2 linked regions of the Caenorhabditis elegans genome follow. The protein of the gene in region 1 interacts with the protein of each later gene in a pairwise test. Each region holds a gene or a part of one and is shown on either strand. Other genes may lie near its edges.

Region 1 (10,937 bases):
GTCACTGAACAACTGCCGAGACTTTACTTCGCTTCTTTCCCATCTCTTTGCTTTTCACGTTGAAATAGTGAGAGAGAGATGCGCATCAAGACTTCAGCAGCCCAATGGCGGCCTCTTTGGCCCGTCCGTGGTGTGTCGTTGTCCGCAAATCAATAGAAAAGACTGCTTGGCCACAGCAACTACTCTGCACTTCACCCAGCCCCTCTGGCCAGTGCCTCTCGTTCTACTCTGCGTCTCTGCGCTCTCTCAATGTTCAGTGTCTTTCACAGTTTCCCTCCAACATGCATTTATCGTCATGCATTTCTCGTTGTGCGGGGAAATGGAGAGAGAGCACGAGACGCAGAGACATTGTCGGATGCCAGTTGTTCTCTCCTTTTGCTATGTTTTTCTTTTTGTCTCCACTTGTTCTCCATCTACTTTTAATTTTTCTTTCTATTTTCGCCTTTGATCTTTTGGCTACTTTTCAATTCTTTTCAAAATCTATTCTTCTCCATCTTACTTTTTTGTCATTTTTTAAAATTTGTCTCAAGACTCCCAAAGTGCCCCTCCCGTTTCCTAAAAAAATTGAAAACCAAAATTTTCAGAAACCAATTCCATTCGGAGTAGTTTCATTGAACAGACCAACTTGAGACCTCAAACGTTCTTGACCTTTTACGGTTTTCAAAAAGGTAGTCGTGTTTTTTGGTTAGTAGAATGTGAGTTGAACTCTTTGAAACATTGAGTTAGGATTGGTAATGGAAAATTGCCACTTTTTAGTTGTTCAATCATTTGCTCAAGTTTTATAAAAACATATTTAGCACCCACCAAATTCAATTGGAACAGAATTATATATAATATTAAGTTCAAGCTTTTATTATTGATTATTTATGAAAATTCAGAAATGTTGCATTTCCCGATCATTTTTCTCGTTTCTAAAAATTTTATATAAAACTTAGGAGTTTCCAGCTCCGTGAGCATTCATTTCCTGTGTATTCGAAACAAAATTAACCAGAACCGAAATTGTTTACAATTTATTTTTCCGCTACACATAACACACCGAAAACCGATAACTTTGCAGAGATCCTCTCTCGTCTCTCTTTTTTCAAAAAAAAAAAAGAAAAAAAGACAACGTTTCGCAACACACTCGATTTTCGATCTTTTTGTACATAGTTCCAGGTGGAAATAGGGGTTTTTTCGGTGGCATAGACCAGTTCATGTCACTATAAACAAAACGTGCTCAGTTGTGCTTTCTCTCTCTCTCTCTCTCTCATTTTGTCCCCGATTTTTTTTCTGTTTGATCTTTACTTTTCTACCTAGTTTCTTGGCATTTTTGCTCAAAACCTTCTTCAACTTCCGTTTCTTTGTTTCTTGTCTAATAGGTATTATAATTAGGAATCTGCCGCCCTCTCATTCGTCTTATGTATAATTATAGGCATCCTAGAATAAGCATCCGGAATCGAATTTCCAAGAGAGATTCACTACAGCTTCTTGCGCAGATGCTTAGACTTTTGTTATTTTCTATGTTTGATTTTGATATGGAAAAAATTTGCTTACGCTGAAATTTGTGGTTTTTGAAACATTTTTGGTTTGCTACTGGGGTTGATAATTTTTTTTTCGAAGCATTATTTTCCTTTTTTTCACAAAAACTCGATAATCTTATTTTTGGCCAAAATTAAAATTTTCTGAATATGCGTGCCAAAAAAATAATACCAAATTTTCAATTTCTCGCTTTTACTGTTGCCCAAACTTTGTGGAATTTTTTTTTCTAAATACAATCACATATCCAAATTATAATACACGAAATAAAAACGAATTTCCAATTTTGAATTTTCTCAAAAATCAATACGTATTTTCAAAAAAAAATTCCAAGTGTTTTTATAGTCTCACAGATCAAATTAAGATGTAGTAGCAGTGACTAACAATTTGAGTGGGGGGATAAGAAGTGAAACGGCGTCACGAGACGTGTGCCCCCCCCCTGTCTCTTTTCCCCTTCTGTTATCCAGTTCTGATATGTAGTGTGGCAAAGTTTTGTAGAAGGTACAATTCGGAATATTCGAAAACTTTTTCTTTCAATTTAGCCATGCGTTGAAATTTTTCGCCTCGCAAGAGATGTTTGAAATAATTTGAAGCACCAAACAACACTGATGACGTCGGCTGTGCACAGTGAGGGGATTTCCCCGTGTGTTGTGGTTTTTTGAACTTTATGTTCCCGATCTTAAGCCAAATTTTGTGCTCCATAAGAATATTATCCTGCCCATATCTCGTGCTTAAGCCTATCAAAGGCTTCCATTGATTATTCATGACTGGAAATTGTCGGCTTTGAAAAGCGGAATTATTATTTACAATTTGATATTTGAAAAATGTCTGGTCACTATGGTAGTGTGACATTCTTGAAATGCTTATTTTCTCGTTTATTTTTTGAGAAGAGAAAGTTATGATCTCAAAACACACAAATTTCTTGAGAAAATTCTGAGAAAAAAAACGTTTCTTATTTAGAATAAGTAACCCTGAACATTCTAGCTCCATGAAAATTTCTTCTTAAATAATTTTTTTTTAATTTTCTATGCCACACTAGAACTGTATGCTGAAACAGACAGTATTATCTGTTTCTCTAATTTAGGAAACATAGGATTTTCAAATTTGCTAAGAACTACCTTCAAATGGTTTCAGCGCTTTTCATTTTCCAGGTTCTACATTTTTTTGATTGTATATTGTCTGACATTTAGAAATACGTTTGAAAAATTTCAAATTTGAAGGAATGCAGATATAACTTTAAAAATCTAAATTTTTCAAAAAGGACAAGGCTGCATTAGCGTTGCTGGAAATTAAAATATGAAGCTTCATGATTTTTTAAAATTTTGATTTTAATTTTTTCTGAAGTATTTTGAATATATTTCAGCGAAACCGTCAAAAATATTCTGATAATTTTAAAACAAATGCCTATGACTACTTACGTCTGAAAACCCGTATTTCTTCCAGTTAGCCTTCCAAAAACTGCAACTTTTTTTTGTGAAATACTCTAACAACTCAAACACCATTTTATTATTCAAAGTTATTTTTCTATTTTCTACTCTTCTCCATTTTCCGTTCCTGGAAGTTGATCTCCATCCTCTACAACTCAACATTCGCGTGTCAAAGCTGAGATCATATATGCCCCAATCCTTCATAGTGAGCACAACGAAAACCGACTAAATATTCCAAATGAATAAATGTATATCAATTTTCGGGAGGAGAGATGATGTCAATGTTGCTCCGTTGAAGCCGAATGCTTAATTCACACGAGGCATTCAATCCTATCAAATTGTGGCTCCCCTTGATTTTTAATCTCTTATTCAGTTACAGAATTTTGAATTTTTGTTCCTTCAAAGATCAGAATATACTTTTCGAGGGATCTAAAACAACTTGGCAAACCTGGGAAATGTAATTTTTGTTCATCACAGTGTTGTGTGAGAAGGAGGAGAGGGCTGAGAAAATCTGAGAAGATGAAGACTAAGTGATATAGTGATAAAACTCAGGTCAATAATCAATATCTCCCTCCGTCTCCCCAGTCATTTCACTCAATCTTTCTGCATCTTCTTCTTGAATACCTCCCCCCACCTTCCTCCTTCCTTCATTGCTTCTAATCTTTGCGTCAAGATCAGTCTTTGCTGCTGCCTCTGCGGGAAAACCGGGCGCGAAAGGACCCAATTTTCAAAGTCATCGTTTCTTCCCCCCATCCCCTCCTCACCTTTCGAATTTGTTTTTGGTCGAAAGTGTAATGTAAAACGATCTTAGATCATTGGTGCCGAAAAAAAAATAAAACGAGCGAGTTATTTGCACCCGTCTCGCGCTTTTTTGAATGTTTCAAAAGAGTTTGGAAAATGCGAGGGGGTCTTTCTTTGAGTTTAACTTTTTTGTAGCAGTATTTTTTTTTGAAAGGAGGAGTAGTGGTTACATTAATTCAAATTAACAAAAAAAACAAAGTGAACATTCCAAGAATGTCAGTTAACATTATTGGAAATTGCCACATTTTTTTGGATTTTTGAGCTTTTTAGAAGTGTAGAAAATTCTGGTATTTTAGAATTCCTAAAATGTTCAAATACAACTACGTCAAGCATGATTTTTAAAGTTTGTTAAATTCTTATTAACTTTCAAAAAATGGCGAAAACTGACGTTTTTCAATTTTAAAATGATAAGGACTATCTAGAAATTTTAGAGAATATGTAGCAAATAAAAAAATGGTTTGATATTAGTTTACTAATTTAAAATTGTACTTTAATTGCAGCCGATTCATTAAATTTATAAAACTTACCACAATTTCAAAAAATTCAGCCTATGGCTCTCTCCTAAACTTACTCTACTCTCCTACTCTCCTAAACTTACTCTTAAAAATATGTCAAATAATAATCTAGTGAAACATGAAAAAATCAATAACAGAATTATTTTTATCAACAACCCTCCGCCCTGCCTCTGATCATATCGAAAACACGCTCTTGTTTCTATTTTTGTGCCACCCCCTTTTTCCTCTCTTGCCTGATCAATTTTGTGACGTTGACTCTACCATTATTCATAATTTTTGACAAGTTTCTCAAATTTAGTCTCTTCCCTTTCATCAGCTGACAGATATTTTTATGACAAATAACACACACAACTTTACGACGATGGTCTGATCTACGTGTTTCGAAATCAAAAGAGTATGGACTGATTGATCGCACAGTTGAAAGTCTACACTGTCTGGTATAAAAGTTCAAGAAAATATTATGGTAAATGTGACTCATGGTTTCTTTTTTTTCTCGAATATCTATTTCTAAAGCTTTTTTTAAACTATAATTTTCAAAACCTTCAACTTATTGGTCATTCCAAAAAGAACTTTTGCTCCATCTTCTTGCTCTTTTGCTCATCTCTCGATCTTTGTAACACACATACACACATATGCACCTCGTTCTCGAAACTCGACTACTCAAACACCGTCGTGTACATATCCGATATCTTCTCGTTTTTTTTTTTCAGAAAGTATCCTCCGCACATACTTCTCATACATAGCACACAACGTCAACCGAATTCCGAATTAACGAGCCTCCGCCGCTCGCCGAATGTGAGTTTTTTTTTGTAGGCATGCTCTTTTTTTTTCATTCACATCAAGTTTTGATGGATTGGATTAGATTTGGGGTTTTGCCTTTTGCGCTTTTAGTCGTTGGTTGGTGCCTTGCTCTTAACTATAATTGATATATATATTCTGAGTGATCGTATAATCCTTGAGAGTATTAGCTTACTTCTTCAAAATCCAAAAAACTTCTGCCAACACCACGGATTTTGGTGGTATGAAAAAGGTGTCAGATTAGGAAGAACGTTGGCTGTTTTTTCTTGCGGAAAAAGAAAACCTTGACAAAACAACAGAAAAAAGGATTGGACTCTATTTCCAGAGGAAGTAGATAAGGATGGGAATTAACGGAACATTAAAAATCTAAAAAAAACTTCGTTCAACATTCCTGACTATTGTCCTATTTTGACTACGATTTTTGAAACTAAAAATAACCTAGGTCACTGAGCCAGTTGAAACTTAGATTCAAAATTGCCACAACTAAAAGTTCCTTGCATTTTTTTGCTCAACCTCTATCTTGGCGTTTTTTTAATTTTCTAGATAAAATGATATCCTTTTCAGCGACTTTTTGAGATTTTTTTTTAATTTTCAGTGTTCAAAATCATGATGGTTCTGTTAATTTAACTTTTTAAAGTATAGATCTTATTTTCAGACTATTTAAGATCTCGAAACTATATAGGTTCTGCTCTTTTTCAATTTTTGGCTGATTAACTGGATTAGAAACATTTAAAGGTCTCTATCGTCTCCACAAGAAAAAAACATGTTTTCTGTTTCTCCGGAAATGACCTTGGAATTCAAAGACTCTAGTTAATTCGATCTCTGATCAGATATCAGAAAGCATAATTCAAGTTACAAGCCTCCCCTGACTTTGCACAACAATTCGATTGGAAGCATCTTGATCCATCAACCTGTTCAATATTTTTTTTTCTTGTTTCAAATTGAGCAATTCCAAATGGAATGAAATTTTGGAAGATGGAGCAGATAGGCTTATGGTTGAGTTGAAAAGGAAATGGAAAAATTCGTCTCCTTTCCCTTTGCAGTCCTCTCATTTTTTGAGCTTCTCCTTCGTTGGTCCCTCGTGTTTTTTTTCGTCGTTTCTTTTTTCTTCTTCTTTTTTCCCATTGCATTTTTCTTCCCTTCACGGCCCCCTTTCTCTCGTGGGGGCCCTGGCGTTGTCGCCCACAAGCTCCGCCCAGTTCACCACTCTTCTTCTTTCTTTGCTCTCTCCAGCTCGCCGAGCTTCTTCTCCCAGTTTTCTTCGCTCACTGCTCCTTTCATTTTTTTTCTTTGATCGTGCTCACCCTTCGTTGTCGTAGTCTACTTGAGACGACGTGGCGGTGGTGTGCTCACTAAGGAAACTAAATATTCTCGCGCAACACCAACGACTGGCGACCGAAGACGACGTGTGCTTTGCTCCGTCGTCTTCCCCCTACAGTTCTTCGGGACACCGCGGCGAACCACCAATGCACGTGTTTTATAGTATGAACGGTACACTGGCCGATCAACTGCAAAGCCATCTGGCCAACTACGGGCAGCCAATGGTCAACTCGCAACGCAACGAGGATCCGTCAATGTATATGAATGGATCAGCCGCCTCCGTTTCCCACACCAACGGCTCATCCTCGATGGGCAATGATCAAAAATTTCCGTCTTATAAGCGAATGGCTCAACGTAAGTTTTATCCGTTTTATTACTCGGAAAGTTGGAAAATTTAGTAAATTATCATGCTCTTTCCCAGTGGTTTCTTTCTTCAAAATAATTTTGTTTTGATGCTGAATAGGTTTTATGAATTTACAAAATTGAAAATATGAAATGAGAAAAACAAAGCATTTAGGTGAACTAGCGTACATTGACAACATTTTTTTGCTATTCGGCAGCTCAGTTTTTCAAAATATTTTTTTGTGAAGATCATATTGGTTGGATGTACTTGTGTATTCCCGCATTTTAAATACTATGTGATTTCTCAGTTGAATTGTAAATTCAATTTTAAAACAAATCTATTTGAAATAAACTGAGGAGACAGTGTTGTCAGTTTAGTGTGAACTGAAATTTTTTAAATTTGCAAGAAAACACAACATTGTTGAATTGGTTTTTCCATAAAATTTATAGTTTTTGCAAAATTTCTAATAACACTTTTTAAATGTACTTTATAAAAATTTTTAAATTTCCAATAATCCTCTAAAAATTCCCGAACCTTGAAGCTTTACGATTTCTCCACCTAGACAGTTCAAAAAGTTTCTTTAAACACGCTTAACCCCCCAACAATATTAAATTTCACTTTTTTTAGGAAGGAAAGTGCCCGAAGGAGAGCTGTGCGCAGTTTGCTCGGACCTTGCCACTGGATATCACTACGGAGTGGCTAGCTGCAATGGATGGTACGTGGCTGTTTTTTTGTTGTTGCCAGAAAAGATAAAATGACGTTGGACTTTTACACTCGACCCCCACCAAATGAGACTAGGAAGCTGGAGCTCACTGAGCTCTCTGGGGACAATCGTGTTCTTTGCTTCACTCCGCTATCCGTTTCCTCCCCTCTCCGCTGCCTGAAGCGAGACGGGTAAAACTGAGTGAAATGTGATAATGCTTAGGAGGGGCCCTTTAAAACTTGGCCTTTTTGTGTCTTGTTGGTCTTTAGGTTTTGCCTTCTTCCAAAATTTCTAGTCCTCACTCAGTGACCAACAAGCAAACAATGAACTCAATAGACTATGTGAATATGGAGGGGCTCCTTTTTTGGTTTGGTTCTCTGGTTTGCTTGCTCTTGTCAAAACCACACATGCCAAGTTCACCTTGTCTTCAATTTTTTCTCTTTTCTTTTTTTCATCTCGGCCAATAGTAAAAGTAGAAGACCCTTTGAATAAGGGGAGAAAAGCGAAAAAAGCGATCAAGTAGAAAATCGCGTCACGCTTTCGAGAGCACATAGAGCAATAGTGGCAGCAGTAGCTGCACGAGGCAATTTAGAAAGATGGGGAAAAATCCACGAAACATTTTTTTCCTCCCCAATTCTTTCGCTCTGAGGAAATTAATGATGGTCTATGTTCTCTTCCAACATAAGGGTACCAAGATTTTCTCACTCATTTTGATAATTTGATTGGATTTTAGAGAGAGAGATTACATTAGAGACATTAGAATAATTGAGTAATTCAATATTTCAAGACCAAAGAACTAGATGGTGTTCCCCAGAACAATGTTACTGTTGAAATTTTGGTTGCGATTTTCTTTAAAAAAAATTGTCAATTACTATTTCAAAACTCAAAAAACATAGGGTACTTAACTAGTAGCCGTATTTCATGTTAAAAATAGTTTAAGTTTTTTAGTTTTAAGCCAAAAATGGTGATTTGTAAGTCTAATCTTTGTTCAAATGTTTAGCCTTTAAAAAGTATACTTTTGCAAAATGAAAATTTAAAAACTTTTCGAAAAAGCTGGCTAAAATAATTTTAATCGGTACACAATTTTTTTTTGTGACATCGGTTTGAGGAAGGTAATAACTTTTTTCGAAAGCTAATAAAATGTATTTCAAATAAATATAAAAAATCGAATAAACTTTAAGGTTTGATTAAAATGAAACCTCAGGAAACACTTTTGAACATTTGAAAGCAAGTTTATCATAAGTTTCCGCTGAATATATTTTTCACAAAATTTTGTGACAGTTTTCAAATCATCTCCTCACTTCAAACCTAAAAATCTGTTTTCAGCAAAACCTTCTTCCGACGAACAATAGTCAGTGAGCAAACCTTCATTTGCCAATATAATGGAAATTGTGATGTTAATAAAAGTGAGTTTTACTCTAGATTTTCTCGGAAATCGCAAATTGTCCGGTGGTGTCTGATCATGTACTTTTGCTTATTTTGAAAGCATTTTTCAACTAAAAAAAAACTACTTGCAGACATTCGATGTGCATGCCGTCACTGCCGCTTCAACAAATGCCTATTGGTGGGGATGGACGCAAAAGGTAAGTGAAGAGCTCCTGAATATACAATAACCCGTTTGATGACATCCTACGGAGCAGCCAGGGGATTGCAAATTAAAGATACCGACACCAAAACAAGAAGCGTGATAATTAGAGCTTTGACCTCTGGGGTTATTTTTCCGGCGGGAAAATCACACCAAAACACGTGAAGTTGATCTCTGGTGTGGCTCTGTGGTTTGAGTTAAGCCGCGGATTCACGAATTCACGAATTTATAGACACTTTATTGGAACTTTTGCTTATTTTCTCTTCTCAAATGAAAAACACCCTTTTGAAAGGCTTCAATTTGAGTGATCAGTCGGTTTTGCTAGCTGAAAATCGAGATTTGAAAATCTGAAATCATTTGTTAAAAATACTGGGAAAATATATGAAAATTATGATTTCATTAAGTGAGAAAAAAAACAAGATAATTTGTTTTGACATTGAGAGCATAACAATCTAGCTATTTCCGTCAAGACTGAAAAGGAACTAAGTGAAAAATTTATAAAATGACGTAAAAGTTTGTTGCGAAAAATTCTACAACATATAAATTTGCTTAAAAAACGCTGACGTAAACTGACAACAAACTATGCTCAATTTTTATTCAGAAGCAGGACTTTTTGCATCGAAATTCGTGATAAAAAATGAAAGATGAAAATTTTCTATACTGAAAAATTAACAGGAAAAAAATTTGTTGCCAATTAGTTATTTATTGGGAGTTTAATAGAATGGAACTTTAGTGAAACAACGCAAATATTGATTTAAAACCACATCACATTTCAGTTTATTCATATATTATAAATGCCAAAATAACTTGACAGCAATTTTTGCTCTATTACCGAGTAAATTTTGAGAAATAAGCGGAAGGAGTTGTCAGTTTACACTTAATTTTTTGGCGCTGTAAAATGTTTGGAGAAAAATTGTCTATATTTTATTGAAAACACTAGGAACCAGTGGTCCCCCGCCCATCCTTAGAACTGTCGGCAAATGAAGTTTAGCCTTACAAATTCCAGCAATCCAGAATGATCGAGATCGGATTGGGCCAACGAAGAAAATCAAGATGAGCAGCGGATCTGACGACGAGCAAGCCACCACTCCACACCGTCTTCAGGACCAGGTCAGTGGGCGAAACACATTTACCCCAATTTGGATGCATCTTGAATTTCAACAATTTTAACATGTTTCAATGGTTTCTGATCATTGTAACCTAATATGGGGCTTCCTGGCGGAAGGCTGAGGAAAATGAATCTGAGCACGCTCGAAAAAAGAGAAAGGGTCCAAACAAACTCGAGACATAGCAAATAGAAATTGCTGCTAGGTTTTTTCTTGCTTAAATTTTTTTTTCAGGAAATCATCGACCAGCTCACACAAGTTGAAGGGCTGTGCCAGGAGTTGCGACGCTGCATAATTCCTGAAGTGACCGGAGTGACACATGCACTGACGTCCCCTTGCCTACTTTTTGAGACCACTGACCTTAAAGTAGACGTGAGTCTGGTGATCAACTAGTCTCACGTTCCCAGTCACCCATTCATTTTAACTTCAGACCAATACGATTTTCAAAGAGCTCTTCCCGGCGTCGATGAACGACATTCGTATGTGGAACATTCGCGAGATGCGCATCTGCATCGAGTGGGCAAAGACGTTCGATGTTTACCAGAGGCTCAACCTTTTTGATCAGGTGGGTACAAGAAACTTTGGCTGTTGGGGGATTGAAGTTTTCATTCTGCCCAAAAATTATGCTGTCGGAAAGCTAGGCAAATCTGAAGTTGTTTTTTCCCAGAAAATTCTAGAACAACTGCAATTTTGAGTTTTAAATTATTAAATATCAGCGCTGGAGTTTCATTAGCTTCCTAAAGTGGTTATTCAGAAAAAAACTGTAATTTGAAAGTTTCACTTTGAATATCCCTGAAAAAAAGCGTCTGAAAATTTAAAATTGA
Region 2 (10,937 bases), on another chromosome or scaffold:
ACAAAAAATTTTTTGGTAAAAAATTTTCCACAGCAAAATTCTTCTTTACAAGTAGATCAACAAATTTTTAGTTGATGACTTTTCTGTAAAAAATTATCCGCGGAGATATGAGCTACCAAAGTAAATTTGGAAAATAGACCCTTCATTGCTTAGTGCTATTTTCAGTATTTTTGAGAGCCCGCCGTGAGCTGGGTTCTGAAGATTTGCCACTAAATATACACGAGTAACCGTTATAAGACATGGGCTATCGAATCGCATAAGTCTCGGTTTCCTAGTAAATTTCACTATTAAAAATCACACTTTGATCATTAAAAAAACTCACTTTGATCAAAAACCTATACACAATTGCTCCAAATTTCCCGTTGAATGTTCCTGGCATGTGATGAGGAACGTTCAGAAATATTGGGAGCCTGTGATGACCTTCTGGAATCACATCGATACCCTGAATACTGCAAATTTGTTGAAAAAGCTTGGCTGTCTAAAAAGTTCACTTTAGTTGTTGGAAGTTGAATGGCGGTAAATGGAATGTGAAGTTGCTCCTTAATCAGGGTGTGTTGGGAGTCTTGTCCGGAAAATGTTGCACGGCATACACCCTGAAATTTAATTTTGTTGTTTTCCACCGGTTCCAGTCCAATGTTCTTCCTCACCTCAAAAACCGCATTCGATTCCAAAATCTGCACAGCATTGGGGATCCGCAATGACAATTCCACCAATTCCTTCTACAAAATCTCTCGTTTAATTTGGATTATCGTCTCAATTTTGGCGTAGAAGAAAAAAACCGGACTACTGCCGGATTAGGTACGCTTCTTTTTCCTAGCTTCCTTAATACTTGTAGTAAAACAAATTTGCGGGAAAATGGATTTTCGAGAATGTTATTGTTTTAGCGGAAAATGTTTTGAGTAAAAAGCGAAAAGTGTCACTTACACATCCCGCCCGTAATGGACGATCAGGTACCAGAAGTCGAATCGCTCGTTTTTGTTTCATTCGAATTGGCTGAAAATTTTAGGTTTAGGAATTTTTGGAAAATTAAGATTTAGCAAAAAAAGTATATTCACAAACTTTTCAAAAAAAATGTCGGTAGAAAATGTGCCTGATTTTTTGCTTAAAATGGATAAATTTAATTCATTTTTGTAGATCTGGGTTTAAGAATATTAATAAAATAAAATTAGTACACATTATTAATTTTTAGATGACTTGTTTTCTATATAATGTTTTCATAGTAAAAAAATATTTTTTACAAAAATATTTGAGTTTTCAAATGTATAGTCCGAACGAAAAAATTTCTACGATTTTCAAGTTTGAATTGTGTTTTGAATTTTATTAGTTGAACAATCTAGGGGTTCAACCTTGCAGCAATGCTCGAAATAACTCAAAATCATTTTTTGGAAATTTTGACATTTTACCAATACGTTGACTGAAAATTTTGAAAACCCTAAAACCTTTTTGGAGTGTTTTTATATGATATTTGGCCATTTTGGAGTATTATAAGAAACTCAGCCTTTAAATCAAAAAGCTTCCAATAGCTTGGTTCAAAAGTTCAAAATCAAGAAAGAAGAGACGGAAGAAGATTCTTAAGTGAATGGAGGTGTTGTGTACGTACTATTAGCTTAAACTATAAAGGAAAACCAAAAAGGCGAGAAGAAGTCAGATGATTGCGTTGTCTCTCCTCAACAAAACGAATTGTGTGGTGTCACCTCTCTCCTCCAACCCAATTTCATTTTCTCGTCTGCGCCTCTTCGTCTCCAACGTGTTTTCACTTCGGACCACGCCCCGCCTGTTTTTTTTTTCTGGGCGAATGCTACTCCCTTAGTCATTTCGTAAGTGTCGTTTGACAGTCTATGTCTCTGAGTAGGAGTATTAGCCCCCAGATAATTGCCACGTCATTAGAGCGATGTGGACATTACTGTGGTGATAATAAAAGTGGATGGAAGGAGAGGAGAAGCGGATGTACTCTAGGTGATCGGATATTCGGATTTTGTGAAGAGGATCCTATCAGAAAAGATGACTGGCGCGAAATTTGAATTATAATTTTTCGAAAAAAATTGCTAGGTTACAAAACATTTTCAGCGCGAAGTTTGAGTTCTTAATTAAAAAAAAATATTTGGAGCCAAACTCATTTGGCGCAACTTCGAAAATTAATTTTTTTGGCAGAATTTCGCAGTGAGCATGGAAATTTAATTTTTTAAAGAGTCGCCAAATTTTTATTAAAAATTTAAAAACCTCATTTTGGCGCTAATAAATAGAATTTAACTTTTTTTTAATTACCAAAAGTCTTCCAAATTTTTTGAAAACATTTTGGCGTAATTTTAAAAACTATTTTCAATTGGCGCCAAGTTTGAATTTAAATTTATAGAAACAGTGTTCAAATTTTTAATTTTTAAAATAATTTTTTGAAATATTTTTTTTAATGTTCTTTAGAAAATTTCTGAGATTTCCAAATGTCGTTTTCTGAAAATTGGCGTCAAATCAGAGTTTTGAACATTTTATGCAATTTGGGCAAATCTTATTTTGGCAACAAAAAAAAGGCAAAAAAAAAATGGTAAAATAATTTCCCAAATTTTTGGCAAATTTTGGCAGAAAGGCGAAACAGAATTCGAATTTTTTTTTTCAAAATTGGCATCAAATTTGAATTTTAATTTTCAAAACAAATCTTAAATCACACTTCTAGGAATTTTAAAACTCTATGGGTACTTTTTAAAAACATCTGGAACCACTCTAGAAGTTTGTCAACAATCCACTTGAAAATCTTACCAGTATTATTTTGATTGTAGTCACTGAAATTTCTCTAAAACACTTGAGAATTTATAAAAAGTAATACTAACATTTTTATTTTTCAGAATTAATTTTTCAGACACCTCCAAAAAGTTCAGAAAAAGTTTAGCTAATGTCAGAAAAACATTTGAAAATTGCCGTCAGTTAGAAGGAGAATCGTGAAAAAAATTGGTAATTTTGGAAATTGAACCGACACACAAAAAGATGAGTGACGAAGATAAAAAAAAGGGTAACTAGGTTGACACCTGAGTACATCAACTGGGAAAATGAGTATTCGACAGAGATAGAACAATTAGAAAATGGAAGAAGACAAAGGGAGGTACAGACTGATGGACGGAGAGCCGCCTAATGGACAACCGTTGGATACAATTTTGGGAAATGAACTGGGAGAAATTGAAATTGAAATAGAAAAAGTGGGAGTGGTTTTGGTGTGGTGACATTTGGAAGGACACACTGTGATAAATAGCAGGTGGGGAACGACGGTCAACATTTCATTTGGAGAGGGAGCAGAATTTATATGCATAATTTGGGACATATTGGGGTAACGGTATTGTTGAGTGAATTATGTTTTCCTGCAAGTTAAGAAGGGCAAGGTTATTTGGAGATAGATTTTTTGAGGAAAATTGTGACTGAAGGTTTGAAATTCTACTAGAAAACGGTGGGCGGCAAACGATTTTTTGGGCAAATCGACAATCTGCCGGAATCGAAATTTCTGGCAAATCGGCAAATTGTCGGAATTGAAATTTTCCTGCAAGTCGGCAAATAGCCGGAATTAAATTTCCAGAAAATCGGCAAATAGCCGGAATTAAATTTCCAGAAAATCGACAAAGTGCCGGAATTGAAAATTTCCGGCCAATCGGCAAATCGGAAAATTGCCGGAACTGAATTATTCCGGCAAATCGGCAAATAGCCGGAATTGAAATATTCCGGCAAATTGGCAAATTGCCGGAATTGAAATTTCCGGCAAATCGAAAAAATTTTTAAGTGTTTTCGTATTAAAAAAAACCCTTTAAAAACTTCCGACAAATCGGCAAATCGACAAATTACCGGAATAGAAAATTTCCGGCAAATCTGAAAATTTCCAATATTGAAATTTCCGGCAAAACCGCAAATAGGCGGAATTCAAAATTTCCGGCCAATTTTTTGCCGATTTGCCGAACGGCAATTGCAGCCTACTAGGTCCAGAAGTGGACTGCAAACGAAATTTTTTGGCACGTGGTAAACCAGCTCCTTGCCGATTTGCCAAATTTAAAAACTGCGAAGTACTCAAAAAAAGGGCAAATAACTCAAAAATGTACAGTTTTTTGGTTTAAAAAAACCTCTTGAAAATTTTGCCAATTTTGGACATTAGCAAAAAAAAATGGTTTTAAATTTTTACAATTTTTGGAATTTTGTACAAATTTTCAAACTGCCTTCTTTCGAGAATTTTCTGAAACTGCAATATTTAAAAAGATTAGTTTTAAAAAATGTTTACAGCATCCAAAGCCTACAATACCAGAGACCTTTTTCCACAAGTCGCCCAAATATTTTAAAATTTTCTATAACTTGTTCCGGACAATTTCAGAATTATTGGGAGTTTTCAAAAGTTTTCAGAATATAGCAATAGAATTTCAACCCTTGAGGATATTAAAAGGTGAAATACATGTATAATTGAAACTTTCAGTGTATAAAGCTGCGAAGAAAACTATTAAGGAACTTAACATTTTTATAGCGTTACAGTTTGTTACTGTTTCTCACTCAATTAGTATTATAGTTAGCTGTACAGTTATCGTAAACTGTATCAATTTCCCTCCTCCTTCATCGTCTTCTTTGTAGTCTGCTAAGCGTCTAAAAATCTGTTGCGCCAAGCCCTACGCAACGGTTTTTGACACTTCTCGATTTCATCCATCAAGAAGATGTCCACCCAATAGTCTGCCCAAGTGAAGCTGGCAACTTTCGGCATATCCATTCTCCAAAGAAACAATCCATGAGAACACAACCTTCCCCCAATCGCAAACTGGTTTCAAATCCACGGGAGAGGATAAGATGAAGCCGACGAAAAGAGAATGAAGTGAGATTGGAGAGGTCTTTGAGGAGGAGAAAATGCCACACTCCATCGACGATGACGGCGGTGGTGATGGTGTTTCATTGTGTTTCTTTTCAGAAATGATTCAACTTTTCCTGGATTTTGTTCCGATTTTTATCATTTGAAGCCTATTTTAGTAGTTTGACTTTTTTCATTTCATTGGACAGCTAACCGTAGTGGTATTGCTCTTTGAGAGGTTATATCCTGGTTAATTTTAAAGATATCAAAAAAATGATTGCTACAAAAAATAGAAAAAGAAATATATAATTTTTCTAGTTCGCAATTTTTGAATAGACCAAACGACCATTGAGATATAGGATGTCAAAGTTGAACACTGGGGAAAAATTCAAATTGAGAAAATATGACTTCGACAGTAGCCAGGCATTATTATTTTTTTCGTGCCTATCTGCCTATCTCTTTTTTTGTTGATAAACCCCAAAACTACCTGAATAAAACCACGCCTGCCTACCTGCCTACGCGCCACGCTCTTGCATTCCTGTCCTACAGCAAAAGTTCAACTGAAGATGTAAGCTGAGACTTCCAAAAGTAGGCAGGCATTGTTCTTTGGCTTTGTGCCTACCTGCCTACCTCTTATAATTGTTCTAAATAAAGCCAAAAACGTATTGAAAAAGCCAAACATTACGTTGGCAAAACCATGCCTGCCTACATACCTAACTTCAAGAGAGCCTCGGTAAGCTAAAGCTTCCAATTTAGGCATGTATCAAATTTTGGCCTAACTGTACTTAGGCACGTGTAGGTTTCCTTGCAGGCAGGCAGGCGTTTTTTTTTTAAATTTCAATTCAATCCTATTTTAGCTCTGGAATCTTTGAAAACCTACTTGCATTCAATTTTTCGCAACATACATATTCTAATAGACTAATAGATTTTAATTCCAGAAAATGACAAGGTTACTGAATCTCACAATATCCACATTTCTGATATCTTTTGTCACTTCCAAATTCACACCTGACTTCTCACAATGGCTTGCGGATTACTACGGGCCTCAAGTTAGAGATCAGATTGAACGATTGGATCTTGGACCCGGTGGATCTTTCGGTGGAAAAAAGAATCGCAATGATACGCTGAAAAATCAGCCATTGATTATTGTCCACGGAGTATCGGATACAGCCGGCGAGAAGCCATTTTGGGCTGCACAGTGGTTCAGGTAACAGTTGAAAGTTGATAGAAAAGTGAGAATATAATTTTATTTTTGTTTAGAAAAGAGGGAAAATACGCAGAGAATGAGATTTATTCAACAACATATTTCAACGGAGCACAGGGAAACCCGTTGAAATGGATCGAGTACTCGATGAAGTGTGAATATATTAAGCAGGTATGACAGACAACTCTCATAAAGCATAAAGCTTTGAATGCTTGTAACTCAGTCAGCAGCGAAGCTTTTAAAAAGTTGTCAACTATAAAAATGTAGCAAATTTTCTAAACTTTTTGGTATTTTTAAGGGTTATAGAGATATCTTTAAAATAAGCCACTTCAAACTTTTCCAGGTTCGATCTCTAATTGTGGCTGTCCGCTTGTACACTGGCCGCAACGTTGATGTGATCGGTTTCTCGCTTGGTGTTCCGGTGTCAAGAAAAGCAATTCTTGGAGGTAATTGATGTTTAAATTTGAACTGATTTGCATAGAAATGTATGTAGGTGGAGGGTAGGGGAACCGGAAGTCGAATGGAGGGTTGTGAAATAGTTGAGATTTTTCAGGCCGTTGCGTCGACACCGGAGAGTACCTTGGAGAACCGCTGACACGTGTCGTTGACACCTACATCGGAGTAGCTGGACCAAATCGTGGAGCTTCTCCACAACTCGGACCACTTTCAGTCCCGGCTTGCGCACTCTCTATCACCCCGATCTGCAATTCGGTGAACGGTCTTTACTCTGGAAACTGCCCAGCACAAAGTGAATTCCTTCAGGTAAGCCTGCCGCGTGCCTGCCCGCCTCCTAAGAATTGATAGGATGTGCGTACAGATTAAAAGCTTTTATAAATATAATTTATATTCCAGGACATCAACAAATTTGCACATTATGAAGGACAATACACCTACTCAATTTACACGCAGAAGGACCAAATGGTTGGATACACTGTTTGTGGACAGGTACAGCTTAATTCTTAACTAGTATGATCCTTTCATTCAACAATTTCCAGCTAACATCCCCACTCCCCGGTCAAAATGGACAACGCGTCTACACTGATAAAAACCACGATCAAGTGTTCGACGATACTCATGAGGTTCAACTTCGTATGATCAGGGATCATGTGGTTACCTAAGGAAGTTTTGTGGTGTCCCGTGCCTAGCCTGTTAAAACCCTATTAATGATCTGAAATTGTTGAAAATATTGGAATTTTATTATTTATGTGTAAGAGAACTATAATAAACACGATTTGAAATGTATTCAACGTTGTAATTAATTTAAGCTGCGTGCCAGCGTACAGTGTACTTGTGCTCGGCAAGGTGCAGAAAAACAGGCAGTAGGCAAACATGTAGGCAAGAAGGCCTGAAGATGTGCCTACCAAATAAACAGGTATTTTTTGAATTACTGTGGCTTTTTTTACGAATTTCAAAAAAACCAGTTTTGCAGCAGTATTATTGGAGATTTTATTACGCTTAGTTAATGCCTAATATTCTTTCCTATGTAGATTAATTCTTCAGGCCGAAATATGCCTACCTGTGTCTCAGCGCCTAGTTCAGGCTGGAACGCGCCTTGCTAGTTGAAAACCACTATTTTCTTAAATTTTTATTTATATAAATTAAATGTCAAGTATAATAATTATAATGTCAAAATAGCAACAACAATTAACAAAACCACTATTAAGTCTACAATTCCTCGTGATCGAAGCTTGGTCCACCTGGTGGCACTGCGTCGTAGTTCACTGATCCTCCCTTTCCTTCCTCAGACTGAAAATTAGAAATTTATTCGTTGATTTTGGAATCTAATAATTTAACTATTCAACTATTCAACTCACATAAATATTCAACCACGTCTTTCCATTTCCAAGTTGAACTCCAGCCAAGGTTTTTCCGTTTTGAACGATTCTTGCTCCGACCTTCCAGTCTCCTCCGAGTTGTGGAATTGGCAGGGCTCCGATGTCAATTGGCTCCTTTTGCACGAATGGGGTCACGTCGATTGGTCCGTTGGTCTTGATCTTGAGGACCGAGCACACACTTGGAGCAAGTGAGCAGAGGGTGTATTTGCTGAAATATATACAATTTGAGATGTAAATTGAACGCTTAAAATCGCTAACCAAAGTTGATCCGGGACAAACGAGTTCTCAGATTTTCCATTGGAGCACACTTTTCCGATCATGAAGCTGTCCTTCTCGACGTTCAGCGCGAGCTCCAGGGAGTCTTCGTCGGTGATTGGCTCGTTGACAGTGATGAATCCTGAAAAAAATATGGATCTTGGTTTGTAGGCTTGCTTGCCTTCAAGGTATCCTACGCCTGTCTCATGCCTACACGCGTAGCTACTACTAAAGTACCTTTGAAAAATCCTGCAAATTTTTTATCTGACTGATTTCAATAAATCAATTCAAACGCACCAAAGTTAACTATAAAATGTCAATTATATGCGGTAGGCATCAACATAATCTCTAGGCAGGCAGGCACGTAGATTTCTAGGCATGAAGACGTGCCTGATTATGTGTTTCAGGTTTTCTATGTAGACACAAAATGCCTACTTCTTCCTGTCTACTTTACTCGCGATGAAGGCAGGTACGAAGACCCTAAGGCATAGTGATGTGCCTGACGTGTCAAGAATTAGACGGTATTCGGTCACCGAAGCGCTAGGCAGAAAGGCAGGTAGGTTCTCAAACAAAGAGATGCGCCGGAAATCTCAATAATTTGCAGCCGACATCTGTCCAGGCCAACTTCCTGCCAAATTTTTCACTCTGCTCCAGCATGCAAATAAAAGAGGTAGGCAGGCACCAGGCATGGGGTAGGCGCACCTCTTTTTGACTAGAACTCGAATATTGGAACTTTTTATGTTATATCTTTTGACTAAAAAGTCCCTTTTCCAAATTTTCCCACATACTTTTTGTATTCACTAGCTTCAAATTTGAATTCATTATGACCCATATTTGTCGGTCTGACGTGCCGCTACGTAGCTTGTTTATCACACACAATTTCACAGAGTTCAAAAAACAAAACTAACCCTTGTGAAGCTTGAAGTGTCCTGGAAGTCTGAACTGCGGCTTTCCCTTCTTGCAAGATGGCTCCTTGTTCTCATCGTAGGTGGTCACCTCGAAATCGGTGAAAATAATTTTTCCCTTTCCTCTGGTGGTGTCCGTGAACTTGATGACATTATCCACTCCGTCCTCGCACTTGGACCAGGCCACAGTCACGAAGGCGGCAAGAACGAGCCACTTGAATAGCATGCTGGAATTTTTGGGAATTGAAATTTGAAAATTTGAGGAAACTGAAATTGTTGAAAAAAAAATGAACAATAGAATTAAGGCTGTTCAAACACAACGAGCACAATACGATTTGTAGAATGCAATATAAGGAAAAGAAGAAAAGTTTCTGGTTCTTATCAATATATGACCTGATAAGAAGCCAATTGCGGAGATGGCTCCAAATTTGATTAGTGCTCAGAGATAGTGTATGGATTTGAGAGACGCTGGTGGAGGGCAAATACAATAGAGAGGCGGTATGCGACGTGTACTTACCGACGACGTGGCTATTCCTGGGATGAATAATTGATGGAATTTGTGGTTTTGGAGGAAAGTTTCAAAATAGGCACAATAGGCACTGTCAAAAATAAGGACACATTTTTTACATGGAATTTTCAAGAGTAGCGCCAGTGCAAATTTTGACAAAGTATGGCCCAAAACATTAAAGTTTTGGCATGTTGCAAAATTACAAAAAGAACCTTTTTAGAAATTTAGTGTATTCTTGCAATTAAACCATATTTGAAAAATGAAAATTCGAAAAAAATAAATACATACATACCCATACCCATACCCAACTACCTATCTACCTACCTTCCCAGGGGTGGGCGGCAAATGCCGTTTGGCAAATTGATTTGTCGACAAACTCGGCGAATCGGCAAATCGCCGGTTTACCGATTTGCTGGAAATATTTATTTTGGCAAATTGCCGGTTTGCCGTTCGCCGAATATCAGATTTGCCGGAAATACTCACTTTGGCAAATTGTCAATTTGCCGTTCGCCGAATATCAGATTTGCCGGAAATGTTTAGAGGGGAATTTTCTAACCCTGCAATTTGCCGGTTTGCCGATTTGCCGGAAATTTTCAATTCCGGAAATTTGCCGATTTGCAAATTTGCCGGAAAAAATCGTTTGCCGCCCATCCCTGTGCCTACCCACCTACCGACCTACCTACCTGCCTACCTACCTATTAGAACTTCATCTAGCTTTCTTCACATTTTAATAAATAAATTAAATAAATAGGCTATTTACTAGATTTAAGGACAATTTTTGAAACAAATTCTAACAATCCATTATTTTTTTTTTGGAAAAAAAATTAATAACATTTAAGAACATGCCAATTCTAGAAATAGGGCGTACATATGTGTACCAAAATGTGACTCACACTTTTGTCAAATCAAAAACTACACGAATACGCGATTTTCTTTTCTTCAAACATATACTTTCAATGCATATATCTCAGTTGTCGTTTGTCCTATACAAAAATAGTCGATTGGCAAAATATTTGTAATTTCTTTTTCTATATTTTTGCAGTTGAATATGTATTAATATCTGCAAAATGAAACAAGATAAAACCTTTTAAAGTGTAGAGTACTACGTAGTAGGGCATCTAAGATGAATACCTTCTAGTTTTATTTTAATTAAACGATGTGTATTATCAGTGCAAAGTCTAACTTAATCAAATAAAGGGATGGTGTTGTTATCAGTAGAACACACGTTTCGAACTATAATATGATATTTCAATATGGCAGTTTGAAAATAGTGTTTTGCAGTTTGGAGATGGACTGGTCGATAATCGGGGTTAATCTTCACATGGTACTTATTTGAAACTTTGAAGTTATAGACCAGGGGTAGGCGGGAAACGATTTTTTCCTGCAAATCGGCAAATCTGCAAATTGCCGGAATTGAAATTTCCGGCAAACCGGT

What was found. Proteins that work in one complex are often made in the same cells at the same time.
Region 2: the proteins of nhr-1 (region 1) and lips-9 interact in a two-hybrid assay, tested with the Caenorhabditis elegans proteins (one large-scale study listed by BioGRID).

Annotation. Positions count from the first base shown.
Region 1 is NC_003284.9:17,513,477-17,524,413, forward strand, and holds the start of nhr-1 (Nuclear hormone receptor family member nhr-1), read left to right. Parts: upstream 1-6,258; 5' UTR 6,259-6,540; coding exon 6,541-6,730; intron 6,731-7,346; coding exon 7,347-7,434; intron 7,435-7,506; exon of another isoform or gene 7,507-7,715; intron 7,716-8,748; coding exon 8,749-8,828; intron 8,829-8,939; coding exon 8,940-9,005; intron 9,006-9,998; coding exon 9,999-10,117; intron 10,118-10,347; coding exon 10,348-10,494; intron 10,495-10,543; coding exon 10,544-10,678; coding exon of another isoform or gene 10,679-10,807; intron 10,808-10,937. UniProt on the Caenorhabditis elegans protein: Orphan nuclear receptor which acts in concert with the insulin/IGF-1-like signaling (IIS) pathway during osmotic stress, perhaps in response to a ligand modified by the sulfotransferase ssu-1.
Region 2 is NC_003280.10:12,930,157-12,941,093, reverse strand, and holds lips-9 (LIPaSe related), read left to right. Parts: upstream 1-5,731; 5' UTR 5,732-5,736; coding exon 5,737-6,002; intron 6,003-6,055; coding exon 6,056-6,170; intron 6,171-6,342; coding exon 6,343-6,445; intron 6,446-6,552; coding exon 6,553-6,761; intron 6,762-6,851; coding exon 6,852-6,944; intron 6,945-6,994; coding exon 6,995-7,117; 3' UTR 7,118-7,240; downstream 7,241-10,937. Other genes in the region: arrd-10 (Arrestin C-terminal-like domain-containing protein), read right to left, coding at 323-442, 492-593, 648-719, 925-984; dct-18 (DAF-16/FOXO Controlled, germline Tumor affecting), read right to left, coding at 7,665-7,745, 7,814-8,042, 8,093-8,231, 8,998-9,220.